Linked DNA regions of Yarrowia lipolytica. The protein of the gene in region 2 interacts with the protein of the main gene of each other region in a pairwise test. Links are inferred from orthologs where the notes say so. Each region holds a gene or a part of one and is shown on either strand. Other genes may lie near its edges.

Region 1 (7,832 bases), on a different chromosome or scaffold from region 2:
GCGGTCCATATATCGACACTTTGCCCCCCCCCCCCCACGCAAGGTGGTTGTATCTGTTCTTGGACGTGACACGGGCTTGTTGCTCAGGAATAACTTTACTAAAAAACTGCAGTGCATTGTTTGAGGTAACGTGACCTAACATCATCTCGTTTTACCCGTTTGGGAAGCCAAAATTTTAGGGGAAAGATAAGTGGTTGATAAGGAAGAGCGCTCCCACATTCTCAAGCAAGGACAGCAAATGGCACAGTGAAGATTCGCAACTACTTCTACACAGACACAAATGCTACACGAGACTCATCCTTCGCCCGACTATACCAGTATGGGCTCTCAAAGTCGACGCCAGTCTCACAACGGAGGATCGGTTCTGGAGTTGCGACCCACGCTTTCCGGCTCCAGTGGAATCATTGATGAATTCGACGCGTCCGCCAAAAAACATAACAAGAAGAGCCGCGCGCTAAGACGCCGTCGGTGGCGAGTGGGTCTGATTCTGCTGGGATTGGTGGTGCTTTTGTGGGTGGCTTCTGGCTTTCTGGTCAACTCGATCTTCTCCACAGGAGAGTACCCCAAGCCCTACTTCCTCACATATATGAACACTGCGGTTTTCAGCGTTTATTTGATTCCCACCATGTTCCGCAAGGTGCGCGGCAACAAAACAGCGACCCCCGAGTACTCGGTCATTGATGAAAACTCGGACGAGTCGCCCAAACTCACTCCGTTCAAGTCCGTGGAACAACTCACAGGACAGGACGAGGACGAGCTACTGAGCACCAAACAGACGGCCATTCTCTCGCTCCAGTTTTGCATACTCTGGTTCTTCTCCAACTTCCTCACAAACGCCTCTCTCAAATACACTAGCGTCAGCTCGCAGACAATTCTGTCATGCACGTCAAGCTTTTTCACCCTGGTGATTGGATCTGCATTCGGCGTCGAGGCCTTCACAGCCACCAAGCTTCTGGCCCTGGTGTTCAGCATGTGCGGCGTGTTTCTCGTCTCCAAGGCCGATTCCGTCGCTACTCAGACCAGAATGGGTGTCCAGACCAGCGACATTGTTTTTGGGGATCTTCTGGCGCTGGCTGGAGCGGTGGTTTACGGGTTCTACATGACACTGCTCAAGGTTAAGGTCGGGGACGAGTCTCGAATCAACACAAAGATGTTTTTGGGCTTTGTGGGTCTGTTCAACATTCTCCTGTTGTGGCCCACCATCCCTCTTTTGGACTACCTTGGAGTGGAGAAGTTTGGTCTGCCCCAAACGGAGAAAGTGTGGCTCATAGTGCTGGCCAACGCCGCTGCTACTCTGGTGTCCGACTTTTTCTGGGTGCTGGCCATGCTCATGACCTCGCCGCTGGTGGTCACCGTCGGCCTAGGGGCCACCGTGCCTCTGGCCATGGCAGGCGACCTGTTTATCAAACGGTCGCTGCCCTCACTAACATACGTTTTTGGCGCTATTATTCTGTGTCTGTCCTTTGTCGTCATCAATAGACAAGACGAGGACGAGTTGATGGACGACGATGAAGAGTAGTGCTAGCATGATTGCATTTATTTATTAATTTTATGACCTGAAACCTGAGGTGGTTGCAAGTACCAGCACACTGTAGATCGAACGAACTTGCGGGACATAGCCTTCAAGCTTGATATTGATAGAGATAAGACAACAAAGTGTATCGAAATGAGAGTCCTGCCAAGAAGCATATCGCACGAGTCGTGTGATCGAGATGCCTCGATTGTGCTCTCAATGCAGGGGTTAACGAGTGAGTTGAATACTCATGTCGAACACGCAGTGTTACCTGGAAGTTGTTATAGAAGTGTTACCGGAGTAACAACAACAGGCATGGAGCTCTTTAGTAGATGGGCACATGCCACTTGCCCCTTGGAAACAACATATAAATCCCAATTTTTTTACTTGTAGCAACACAATCGCTATAGTTCCACTCTGCTTATCAAAATCATATCTCATTGGTAAATAGTCTACATGTCTAAACTACCAGCCTACCACAAAGGAGTAAGACCCTCCCAGTTGCCCTGCTTTCGTCGGTTCCAGTAGTTGTTGGGACCCTTGGTAAGCAGGTACAGATCGCCCTGCTCGTTGACTCCGTCCAAACCAGACGACTTTTCGAAAAAGGTGGGCTTGTACGTCTTACCCGAGTCCTGTAGCACCTTTCGTCGCTCCCGCTGCTTCTCCTCCAGCTCCTGTTTGCCGGCCTCGGCCTTGTCGGTCTGGCCAGCCTCGTACTCCTTCTGGTCGGGTCGGAACCGCGAGTCGTAAGGGGAAGCGTGTCCTTTTTCGATGGGGGTGACCTCGTTGAGACCGGCGGTGAACTCGGTGAAACCCCACTTCTTGGTGTGGTTGTTGACGAGGTTGCCGACCTTCCAGATGGTCTTCTTCTGACCCTTGGCGTTGTTGAGGGTGATCTGCTCGGTCCACTTACCGGAGGCGAAGCAGGGCAGGTTAGAACCATTAGCTGAAACAGCCTTGATGTTGAGCTCTTCGCTTCGACCGGAGAACATTCCTCCGGCCTTGAACTCGACAATGGCCTTCTCTCCGGTGGAAGAGAAGATGGTGAAGTCGCCAACAGGCTCGGTGTACTTCTCACCAGCCATGATGTTTCGCAGGTACGTGGTGGGGTTGCTCCAGTGGAAAACCTCGCCGGACTGTCGGAACTTAACGACGATAGGGCCCAGGTAGTTAATTTCCATCGACTTACCCCAGAACTTCTGCACGGGCTCAGACGAGTGGGCCACAGACCAGCCATGCTCGGAGTCTACATGCAGAGCCATAACGGGAGGGTGATGACACACTTTTTCAGAGATGAGTCTGTAACCGAGATCGGGTCGAACCAGCTCATAGGTCTCTCCAAGAAGAGGGTTGAAAGGCTTTCGGAGAGCGCGCTCCTTAGCTCGCATGGAGGCGAGGTAGGAGACAGCCCAGGTGGCCACGTAGATGATTCGCTCTCCGTCATTGGCAGGCACGTTTTCAGCCTCGTCCAGCAGCTGGGGGTACTCGAACATCTCGGCGAATCTCTGTAGAGCAGAAATAGGCTCGTTGGTGGTGATGGGGACGGCCATGGAGCCCATATCCTTGCCGACACTCTTCTTGAGGATACCCAACATGGAAGGGGGGGTGGAAGCAGCATCAGGAAGAGTGACTCGGTGCTTGACCGGCTGAACCTCATGCAGTGGGTACAGATCATCAGCGTCATCAGCATCATGGACAACAGGAGCAACATGGTGTCCCTCGTCCTCCTCGTCTGTGGAGTCGTGCTCAGCTCCGTCGTCATCGTCGTCAACAGCGTCGTCGTCCAGGAACACAACTCCGTCCTTGTCGGGGTTCTCCTCAGCGTCGTAGAAAGTGTCATGCTCGGACATGATGGAGCCGTTAAAGGACGCTCGCTTGGCCATGGGCTGTGAGTACATGGCGCTCTCATGAGCAACATGGGACACCACGTCGGTGAACTCGAGATACAGCGCTGCTAGGCGCGCATTGAGGTCCTTGGTCACGTTGGAAGCGCCGGGCTCCTGAGCAGCCACATCGGAAATATCCTTGGTCTCTCGTAGCTTGGCCACAAGCTGAGCAAACTTCTCCTGGTCAGGTGCGGTCACAGCAGCGACTGCGGGAACAGGTTCGTCAGCAGCACCTCCGCTCTTGCCCTTTCTGATCCGCTCAAAGGTGTCGACCCAGATCTGCCAGTCGGCGTCGTTGAGGGCCTTGAGGTTCCACACCTCCATACCCGAGTCCACAAAGATGAGTCTCTGGGCCTTGGAGGCAGAGATGGCACACAAGGTCAGGGGCAGAGAGCCTCGCAACGAGTTGGACTTGGGGTCTGTGTAGTAATTGAGAATGGCCAGCTTGAGATCCAGAACAAAGTACCGTCGGGTGTATCCCTGGAGCTTCTTTCGTCGCTTTTTGAGCAGGATACCGGATACGGCGGTCTCGGAGACAAGGGTATGGGGAGCATTGTTAGCCGCATGTCCCTCTTCCATGGCCTGGACAGTGAAATGGACGGTTTTGGGTGTGGTTTTGGAGAAGGTGTTGTCGAACACAAGGGCGTAGATGCCTCCCTTTCCCTTGGGGACCTTGTAGACTCCCTCGGACTGTTCGTTGGCGTTGCACTTTTTGAGCGGCAGAACAGGGGACAATCCGCTTGATTCAAGTCGTTTTTCGATGGTTCCCGAGTGGGGAGCCGAGATGGAGGCTCGTCGGCCGGCATTGTGTCCTTCAGCCTCGATTTCGACCTGCAAGTTGTTGCTCCGCTCCTTCTCGAAGATGCCCACGTTGATGGACTTTTTCAGGGGGTGAACTTTGAAGGTGATGGCGGAGCCCTCGGGGGCAGTGACCCACTTGATGACAAACGACCGCGAGGCCACTTCGATGGTTTCCATGGCGAGACGGGTTGCAATATGGATTCGGTGGTTAGTTTGAAGGAGCGATTATGTCCTCGACATTATATTGCGGGTTTCAAAGTCTAATTACTGGTTTGCATGGCACATGCTGTTTGCAGGTGATAAACTGGGGATGTGGTGGGGGCTTAGTTAGAGACCATGTGTTGAGTGACGGGCCCTGTGGGATGAACAGTACCACGACTGTGCTGCCGTTGCAGGCGAAGTGGCTTCTACATTTTAGCCAGGGCGATTACACTCACAATGTGACTACTGGAGCTGTACTTATTCCCCACCATCCCGCCAACAAGTGCCATAGTCCAACGAATACGGCCCTCGTGTTCGGGGCTTGTCAGGCTCGGTAACCCAACAAAGCAACTCTATTTGAGCGGGGGTACACCGAAGAGTCTCTTTTTGGCTTTTTGTCTGAATGTGAATATCAGGAACATAAAAGTGACGTAATTCACACGTCTACGACTTGATACAATGACATGGGGTGGGTTCACAATGCAACTGTCAGCGAACCCAGCATTGTCTCACCCGAACACGCAAGGGGCCTCTCTTCTCCACACCTGCAGAAGCGGCTCGAAATAAAGAGATGATAATAATCGACACGGGAATAAATATTAGACGTGCTGTAAATCCGATTCTCTCAACTCCGACTGGAGCTGCATGCAATGGATCGACCTCTGAGCAGCCGTTAGCTTAGACTGCTGCTGTCTGAGGAAGTGTCCACACAGCCATACAGAAAAGCATATATTCTGGGAAATGGCTTGTGGCTCTTTTCCCCGCAGACCAGGGCATGTGAGACTACAATTGTAGGACTCACTCAGACCATGGAGTTGATGCGAGCAAGCCGCGATTCCACCGCCGCAAGCGTCTTGTTGACGCTCTCCAGACGGGCCTCTGCATCCCGGATCTGTGCAGATATGCTAGACACCGCCACCAGGTCCTTGGTGGTTTCCTGGTAGTGTTTTAGAGCTGTGTTAGTGGGAATGAGGGCCCAAGGTCCGATTGGACAATGCCCCATAACGGGTAAGTCATGTCGTATCTTATCGTATCGTATCGTGCTTGCCACAATCACGGTTAGCATTCGATAATTGGTCTGCACGGGCCGCATTGTTGCAAAGGGCGTCGCCATGGTGTCCCTCACTGAATAACCCTGCTCTTGATTGTAAACCACCCCCATGGTACAGTATTGTCAGAAACCACACAACCAAGCCTCTGTCCATGCATCACACCACACTCACATATGCTTAGGCCATGTAACACGGTGGAGAGCACCACCTGGGACTCGTGGATGGCGCGGATTTTCCAGGCTGTTGTGTCGATGGCCGGGTTCAGCGTGTTCTGAACCACCGTGTCCATGTCGCTGCGTAGTGACGCCAAGGCTTCCTCGTTTTCGAGAGACATTGTGTGTGCTAGTAAGTAGAGACAGGAATGATGAATTCGAGTGGTAAATTAATTAGAGATCGCGTACGTAGTGCTGTTAAGCCCTTACCCATGTCGTGCACCATCGCTGCTATCTGATGTTGGGGAGAACAGGAGATAGATATGGAAAATGACTCACGACTGAATAGAAAATGAATATCAGTTGCGACTCTGTGGTTTCATACACAATAACGCAGTTTTGTTGCATTGTTCCATGACCCGCCTTATCGTCGCTTTAGTTAGCTTTACTTGATCTTTGGTCAGCTTACTTGAATCTACAAGCAAGTAGTTTGGACCCACGCACCATAGGAGCCTTTGATCAGTACTCGTTACGACACCTAACAACTGCTTTAAAACAGCTTTGACAGTATTAATACATCCAAAATTCGCTATATACATTATTCCTGGACCTCGAGATCCTTGATGGACTCCTCTCTAAAATGGTCCTCCAGAGCCTCCAACACTGCATCCAGCTTCTTGCCCGACATGACCACGTCCAAGTTACCGCTGTACCCACATCGATGGTCCGTGACTCGGTTCTGATGGAAGTTGTATGTTCGGATCTTGTCAGATCGGTCGGTGGCAGACACCTGGCTGGTTCTTGCGTTCTTGCTCTTTGCAGCCTGTTCGCGTCGCTTCTGTTCAGCCAGACGGCCTCGGAGAATCATAAAGGCCATCTCCTTGTTCTGGCGTTGTGACCGCGAGTTCTGCATCACAACCATTGTCTTGGTGGGGATATGAACCAGTCGAACGGCCGACTCGGTCTTGTTAACATGCTGTCCTCCGGCTCCCTGAGCTCGCATGACATCGATTCGCACCTCGCCAGGAGCAAACTGAATGTCATCAGCAGCAACGGAACTCTCTGATATCTGGGGCAAAACGATAACAGCGGCAGCAGATGTGTGGACTCGTCCAGAAGACTCGGTGACAGGAACCCGCTGGACTCGATGAACTCCTCCCTCATGCTGAAGCATGTTGTAACTTCCCTCTCCGTCTACTGAAAGGATGACTTCAGTAATGCCACCCTTGTCGTTACGAGTCACGTTAGTGATCTGGTACGGCCAGCCCATCTCGTCGGCATAGCCAGTGTACATGTTCAGCAGGTTGTCGGTAAACAAACAGGCCTCTTCTCCTCCAATACCAGGGCGCATCTCGATGATACAGCCGATGTCGCCGTAAGGATGTGTGGGCAGAAGCAAAGTCTCGAGCTTCTTGATAGCCTTCTCAGCCTCAGCCTCGACGGTGGGGATCTCATCTTCAGCATCCTTTTTCAGCTCGGGATCATCGCACATGCTCATGAGCTCGTCGTACTGCACAATCGAGTTTCTGTACGAGTCCAGCTCGTGCGTCACCTGACCAAGCAAGTTGATTTTCGCAATGAGCTTCTTGTCCTTGAACTGGTCCTCGTTAGGGCTCGCCTGAAGAGCCTCGTACTCCTTGTTCATACTCTCTGCCTTGCCAAGCAGGATCGGATGCAGTTTTCGGACCGATGCTGGGTTAGTGGGGCTGTCTTGGGGTGTGGGAAGACACGTAAAAGAACACACTCACTGATGCTGGTGGTGTGGAACAGCCGGACAGACCGCTGCGCCATCCATGGTGCTTTCAACGCCCATCGCAGTTGCATGTTGGTATGATGAATATTCAGAGGTGAAATTTATAAACTTAAAAGTGAGAGAAAGAGAAGCGGGCAAGGAGGGAGTCGTGAAGTTGGTATTCGAGTTGACATATAGAATAGATATATATTGGGTTCGTGTTAGGTACTATTTTTCATTAGATTTCACTTTCAAGCTGTCTATTTCGTGGAGTAAAGAGGGAGTTGGGGGTTTCACGAAAGACTCCACAATATAGTAAGTATCAAGAAGCTTTCCCAACTAAAGCTGAGTACATCAAGGGCATGTTCAAATACCGATATCATTACATTATTGGCTGTTGGTTGGCCGGAGAACACTATCAATTGATTCACTAGCGATTAAGTGATCAGAAATTTTTAAGATCTTGTAATTACCACATCCAAGGAGCAAAATATG
Region 2 (6,906 bases):
GAGTCGCCTGACTCTGACAAACATGTACATATACAGTACAGTACTGTAGCTACCTTGGAACCCTGTACTGCACGAGGACCCTTCACCAGGTACCAGGGACAATACCGGTGTCTTCAATTGAGTGAGACAATTTCGGATTTTCACGTTGACGAAATAATAATAGTTGTTCATATTTCAGGGAGAATATTACGGGGCAAAATATTATAATGACAACCCCCACCAGCTTACAGGCACAGACCGATATATCCACAAGCGTGTATACATTTACTCATCGCCAAGGGTCTACATATCCGGTGTATACGACCCAAGACGTTCAGCACAAAACTTGGGAGCTTTTGAGGGGTGACAAACTCAGTCAAGACAAGCTGTGCAAAACAAACCAGTACAAGGTCCATCGAGGGGAGCTAGTGCTGTACGATGTTAGTGTGGAGGACAAAGAAAGGGCGGCGTCGGTTCTCTCTTTACAGTCCACACGTCTCTTATTACCTGCTCAGCAATAAATGCCTATCACTCAAGACTGTCTCAAACCATGGACATGGCATGTTTGTGTGGGCTTGTTTGTACGGTACGTTTGTACGTGCTTTTTATTTGCTTTCGTGGTTCAACCACCCCTGCATGGCAGCGTTGAAGTTGATTTCTCCACCTTCGGGATCGGCACTTAGTATCGACCGATGCACATAAAATTAAGGAGGTTTGATACGGGACCGTCTCCACTGAGCTGTGCCATAATGTCTGTCTGACGTTGATGTCTCGTTCCTTTGGACAAGGAAATGCCTCGACGCGTTTCTCTCTCACTAGGACAAAGCTCCAAAAAGTGTGTATAATAAATATTTTTCAACCAGCTCCCGTTTTCTTTGTGCGTGCCGTCTAGCGAAAAACCGTCTCCACCGTCTTGGATACGAGAGTTTAAGCGGTGCGACAGTTGGGCTAGTGGAGGGCCAAAATTCAACGCCTCTCATGCGACCTATATGGTTGACCCTCGAGAGTTGCCCGAAGCGGCAAAATTACTTCCTTTCTCGTCATTCCTCCACTTCGCTTAGACGTGTTTGATGTACTGGTAAAACGGCACCAGTGTTTTAGTATGGTGCTTGTGCTAGTTCCTGGAAGTCCAGGCTCTGTGGCGGTTGTGCTAAAACAACAAGACGGGTGGTTTTAGGCCGCAGAAGGCCGTTTTTTTATTGCTCCTTGGTTTGTGAAAACACTGCTGCCTGTAGTTATTTGCCAACCTTTCTTTTTCTGGATCACCCCACCTCGACCAGCAAGATGAGGTAGAGTAACTAACGAGAAGATCGCCTCTCTCGAGGAGCGCCATACAGGTATACATTATTACCCTGCCAAAAGACAAAAGATTAACCCAACTTAATCTCTCGGAAAGGATCTGGGATACCACCCACAGAGTTAGGCCTCAGCATAACATCTGCAGTTGGAGATAGCGGAGAGTCGCAAGTCGCCCAAGGCAATTTGCCTTGTGCTTTTGCCCAAACAAGAACAAGGCGCACTCTACATGATATTAGAAAATGCTGGAATGTCCAGAGGATGGTTTTATGGCTTAGAAGGGGAACGCCACGGCCATCGTAGTCCGACTTTTAGGCTTCCTTTAAATCGGTTAATCTTACCTACACAAGGAGCTTTCCACAGACCAAAACCATTTTGACACTGCACCAGCTTGTTATGGGTATGGTAGACACAAATCACCGACAAAAGAGCTCCCCACTAGCATAGTGCTATCATCCCCGGTCCTTGTCCTGCTAGCTCGCACAAGCACACCTCTAAAGAGTGCTAATTTGTTTGACAGCTCCAAGACGGTACAATAGGCAACATAGAGCCCATCTGACAGCCCAGTATGAAACACGAACGTTGACCAGAGAACAACGGTAGCGTGCAGAAGTTTGCTTGAAAACACGAGATTTGCCGCCACGTGCAAATTCCGGAGTGTCTGTCAGATGGTGTCCACATAACCGCGCTGTGGCCCCTAATTTCCAGAATCAATGTAGCATCTTGAGGAGGATAAGTTACACAACGAAGATCAGAGGCTGCTCCACTAGGTCGGCGGTCTCAAGTTAGTTTGTGTCTATTTTTAGTTGGTCAGACTTGATAATAGTCTCTCAGTCTGTGAGCTCAAAATAGGAGCCTCATAGTCTGGACTGGCACACAATAATTTCTTAGTCTCCGACCGCCTGCCAGCCCAGTGACAATAACTCTGTACAATGACAAGGGTTGAAGAGGAGTACAAGTACTTGTATAACTAGTTGTACTGTACAGCCGCTCCTCGTCCTCGAACATACGCTTCAAATCAACTCAACTGGCCGCAAGGGGTCGAACAGGGTTACCTTCTAAGTTGACATTCGATCGCAGACTTGTTACAGCTGTTGCAGTTATATTTCCCTGTGGCAGTAGAGAGAGGCCTTTACAGTGTTCGTGACAATTCTACTAATGAAAACCGATAGACAAGCTATCCAACGCTCTATCATAAGAGCTCTGCTATCTTATATGACTCATTAGGGTCTATCAGCCCCGTATAGAGGAATAATATATGAAAAATGAGCCAAGAAGGTGCTGGTGCGCGCCCCCACAATCCCAAAGTTGACGACTATCGCATCCCACTCCGTATAGCATCAATTGGAATGTTGTACATTTAATATTTTCATTTGTCGAGCCCGTAAAATGTTCGGATCCAATTCTGTAACCGTTATATTAGCTTATCTTGTAGCCTTTAGCCCACCCGAGTAGAAGGGTTTAAAACGAAGTGTCCACCAGGGGTTTTCAAGGACGATATCGGCTATTGGTGCCGTTAGATACCGCGGGGGTCTGTAGCCTCGGTTAGAGGAAAAGTGGCGTGATCTCGTTGGCGCAGGTCTAGAAGAATGTGATTCTTACTGTAGCTGTAGGCCAGCTATTGGTTACGTTACTGTAATTCACTTGAAGGCTTGTTGAGAGAAGTAACTACAAGTAAAAGTGAAGTCCTTTGCAGATAACTGCAGGGAGGTTTGTTAGTTGCAATCGCGTATACTTGGAAAATATCACATGCAGATAAGAAACGCTCACATAATACAATGCAGAATTTGCCGAAACTAAACACTTTTGATAACTACGTACTCTCTTAATAAATCCGCCTAATACTCGCCACCGTAGTCCCCAACACTTACTCAGCGAGGATAGGCCGTTTTAAGTTTCACCTCCCAACCTTATACAAAAAAATCTCGAGAGTGCATGAGCATCGTTTTCAGGTGAAAATACATTACCACTCACCACATACACCATGGATATCTTCAAAGTACTATCTCGAGGAGCCACGATCCAGCGAAACGGTAAACACAGGAAGGACCTGACTCTGCTCAACCACGCTGCTCCCAAAGACACCCAGGACAATGTCGACATTGAAGTTGCCCGAGAAACCGACTTTTTCAAGACCAAGACAGACACTTACTCCAAGAAGCGAGTAGCTGAGGAGGCTGAGCTGGACAATGAAGAGGAGGAAGAGGCTCCCCCGCCCATTATCAGTACTCCCGAGGAGGCTGTGGTTTTCCGAAACAAGCACAAGATCAACATCACCGGAGAAGACTCCCCTCTGCCCATTGGGTCGTTTGAAGACCTCATCACTCGATTCAACTTGCATCCCTATCTTCTGGCCAACCTCAAGAAGAACAAGTACACAGACCCTACCCCGATCCAGTGCGAGAGTATCCCTACAATGCTGAACGGCCGAGATCTGATTGCCTGTGCTCCAACTGGTTCCGGTAAGACTATGGCCTACAGCATCCCCATGGTGGAGATGCTGGGTAAGAAGAAGGGCTCCAAGGACGCTAAGAAGGGAATCAAGGCACTGGTGGTTGCCCCCACCAAGGAGCTGGCGTCTCAGATCTTCAACGCTGTGTTCTCGCTCTGCGTGGGTGTTGGAAAAAAGAAGGACGAGCTGAAACCCTGCTTGCTGGACAAGAGCACGGCCGACAAGCTGCGAAACGGAAAAGTCAGCTCCCAGAAATACGACATTTGCATTACCACCCCCCTGAGACTGGTCTCCGCCCTCAACGACGGCAGCCTGGACCTTGGATCCCTGGATCTGGTCATCTTCGATGAGGCCGACAAGCTGTTTGAGAAGGGCTTTGCCACCCAGGTCGATGACATTCTGGCAGCATGCCCCTCGGGTATTCAGAAGACTCTGTTCTCCGCAACCATTCCTGCCTCTGTCGAGCAGCTGGCAAACAGTATCATGAGCACCGACCCTCTACGTATCATTATCGGTAACAAGCAGGCTGCTGCCCAGACCGTTGAGCAGAAGCTGGTGTATGCTGGAAACGAGGAAGGTAAGCTTGTGGCTATCCGACAAATGGCCCGAGAGGGTCAGCTTGTGGCCCCTGTCATCATCTTCCTGCAGTCCATCGACCGAGCCAAGGCACTGTTCAAGGAGCTGGTTTTCGACGGAATCAACGTCGACCAGATCCATGGAGACATGACTGCGGCCAAGCGAGCTTCCGTCATCGACCGTTTCCGAAACGGAGAAGTCTGGGTGCTAATCTGTACCGACGTTCTGGCCCGAGGTATCGATTTCCGAGGCATCAACCTGGTCATCAACTACGATGTACCCCAGTCTGCACAGTCTTACGTGCATCGAATCGGACGAACCGGTCGAGCTGGCCGACTCGGCAAGGCCGTCACCTTCTTCACCAAGGAGGACGCTACCAATGTCAAGGTGGTAGTCAATGTCATGAAGCAGTCTGGACAGGAGGTACCCGACTGGCTCAACAACCTCGCTCCCCTGACTCAGAAGGAGCGAGACAACATCAAAAACAGACCCATCAAACGAAAGAAGATCTCTACTCAACATGCTCTGGCTAACAACAAGAAGAAGCGGGCCAAACAGCAGATGAAGGGTCTCAAGAAGATGAAGAAGGACGACGAATAAGTTATTGTGGACCGCCTAGGCCATGCTATAGACTAATGTACATCAGATAAATGGAGCGAGCTGTCGTAGAGATGTATTAAAGCTGACGTGCGATCTGTGTCTGTACGCCCTTCACTTTCCATACGATGCAAGCCATACACACAGGCAGATAATTAGCTGTTACAAGTATATAGGTCAGATACTGGAAAAACGACACCGTTAAAACCACTCAGGAACAATTCAATAGAAACGCAAAGCGTCAGTTTTAAATTACATGTTAATCGGATTTCTAATGTCCAATTTAGTGCTTGTCAGCAGAGGGGACCTTGTAGCCAATGACGTTTCGTCGGCCGATAACCTCACCGAGGGTGAAGAGACCGAGGATCTGGACACCGTAGGCAGTGTATCGGAGAGCGTCAGTCTTGGTGATGGACTCAGCACAGTCAATGACCTTCTGGGGCTTGAGGGCGTAAGACTTGACGGAGTTGAACAGGTTCTGGTAGACAGACTGGAACTGAGAAAGAGAGGGGGGAGCAAAGCCCTCCTTGAGGTAGATCTGCTTTCCGAGCTCACCGGTGACCTTGGCCCAGTAGACGGCACAGTTGGTGATGCCTGAGTTAGTATAATGTTGGGGGTTGACTGCCTTGGAGTAGTGGCATGATTCGAGGAGTAGAACAGATACAGATTCCCGGAGTGGATAGGGTGTTGATCGGAGTACTGAACGAGATTGATTCCAATGAGGTGGGCCGCTGATGACACTGGAACTGCTAACGATGTCGCACTAGTGTACTCGTCTCTATCACGTGTCTAGTGTCGTCGTTCACAACTTCCGACACGTCAAGCTGATGAAACACCATCTGGTAGCACCGGTAAACACCACAATCACATCCAATCAAAACAGGACACTCTCGTGCCACACTCTCCTTGCACTTGTCCATCCCCGACCCCCATATACGCAGCTGTGTTGCTTGTTATCGCCGGAAAATCGAAAAGTCTCCTAGCTCGAGAAATACTCACCCTGGACCTTGGCTCCGAGACCCTGGGCCTTGGAGGCAGCCTTGGAGGCAGCGGTGGACTGGAATCGCACCTGCTGGAAAACGCCAGAAACTCTGCTTCGGAACATTGTGTGTAGTTTAGGTGTGCTGATTTCTCAAGACGATTTGTGTATGTAAGAGTTTTTCTACCGCAGTGTTGGGAGGTTCGCCCAATCAGAATGCACGGGGCCGGGTAGCTGTTTGTGAAATTTAGGGTTAGGGTAAGTGTATTTCGCGGGTGCTGGAATGGTGTGGTGTCAGAAAATGATGTTTTGAAGGGTGAATGATGGGTGTTTGGGTTTCAGCATGACAAAGAGTTGCTGACATTGTCGACTGGCGTTGATATTTGTGTGGATGGGGTCGAATTACGTAAGCGGACAACGAAGGAGGCACTTTATTAGTGGAGGACGTCCTAAAAGTGTTGTGGTTGGTATGTAGGGTCATCAGTATTACGTCCATCCCAGTGAATGGTCTGTACAAGTGGGCTGTCGTAATTATCATATTAAAAACATGGGGCATGGCCTGTTTATAAGTGACAACGTCAAGGATATTAGTCTGATTGTCTCGAGGGGTAAGATCTCAAGCTAGCCCTCCGGTTAACTGCCTTGAACACCAATGTTCCAACTCTCTTTAGTTGACATGGTAAGTAAATACCCCAACTGGTGCTTCACAATATTCAACTAACATTTTAATAATTTACTTACTCCTACCGTCAACTAATTATCTCTTCTTTGTTGTGCAACTTCCCTCCGGATCAATCTCATCTCGTCAACTCTATCATGCATAGAACCTAAAAAGTTTGAGACGGTGAAAAAATCGCCAATATCCAGCCAAACGGCACTATATACAAAATTCTCCGCCTCGCCCCGCAACTTCCCCTACGCAGCTTCACACGACTATTACACATGACTGCTGCTTCTGCTTCCTCTGACGCGTCCGCCCCCACAAAGCTGGCTGGCCGTCAGCTGTTTGAAAAACTTGGCAAGCCCA

What was found. The genes of interacting proteins can lie anywhere in the genome.
Region 1: the proteins of YALI1_B28053g (region 2) and YALI1_E26930g interact in binary tests that used the Saccharomyces cerevisiae proteins (3 or more experiments, as listed by UniProt). The link is inferred for Yarrowia lipolytica from reciprocal best matches to the Saccharomyces cerevisiae genes ROK1 and OSH3.

The regions. Positions count from the first base shown.
Region 1 is NC_090774.1:2,689,577-2,697,408, reverse strand, and holds YALI1_E26930g (uncharacterized protein), read right to left. Parts: upstream 4,378-7,832; coding exon 1,987-4,377; downstream 1-1,986. Other genes in the region: YALI1_E26971g (uncharacterized protein), read left to right, coding at 281-1,519; YALI1_E26916g (uncharacterized protein), read right to left, coding at 5,204-5,355, 5,625-5,787; YALI1_E26900g (uncharacterized protein), read right to left, coding at 6,204-7,297, 7,354-7,429. UniProt on the Saccharomyces cerevisiae protein: Lipid transport protein (LTP) involved in non-vesicular transfer of lipids between membranes.
Region 2 is NC_090771.1:2,801,643-2,808,548, reverse strand, and holds YALI1_B28053g (uncharacterized protein), read left to right. Parts: upstream 1-3,259; coding exon 3,260-4,903; downstream 4,904-6,906. Other genes in the region: YALI1_B28084g (uncharacterized protein), read right to left, coding at 1-171; YALI1_B28025g (uncharacterized protein), read right to left, coding at 5,184-5,494, 5,900-6,005; YALI1_B28017g (uncharacterized protein), read left to right, coding at 6,822-6,906. UniProt on the Saccharomyces cerevisiae protein: ATP-dependent RNA helicase involved in 40S ribosomal subunit biogenesis. Required for the processing and cleavage of 35S pre-rRNA at sites A0, A1, and A2, leading to mature 18S rRNA.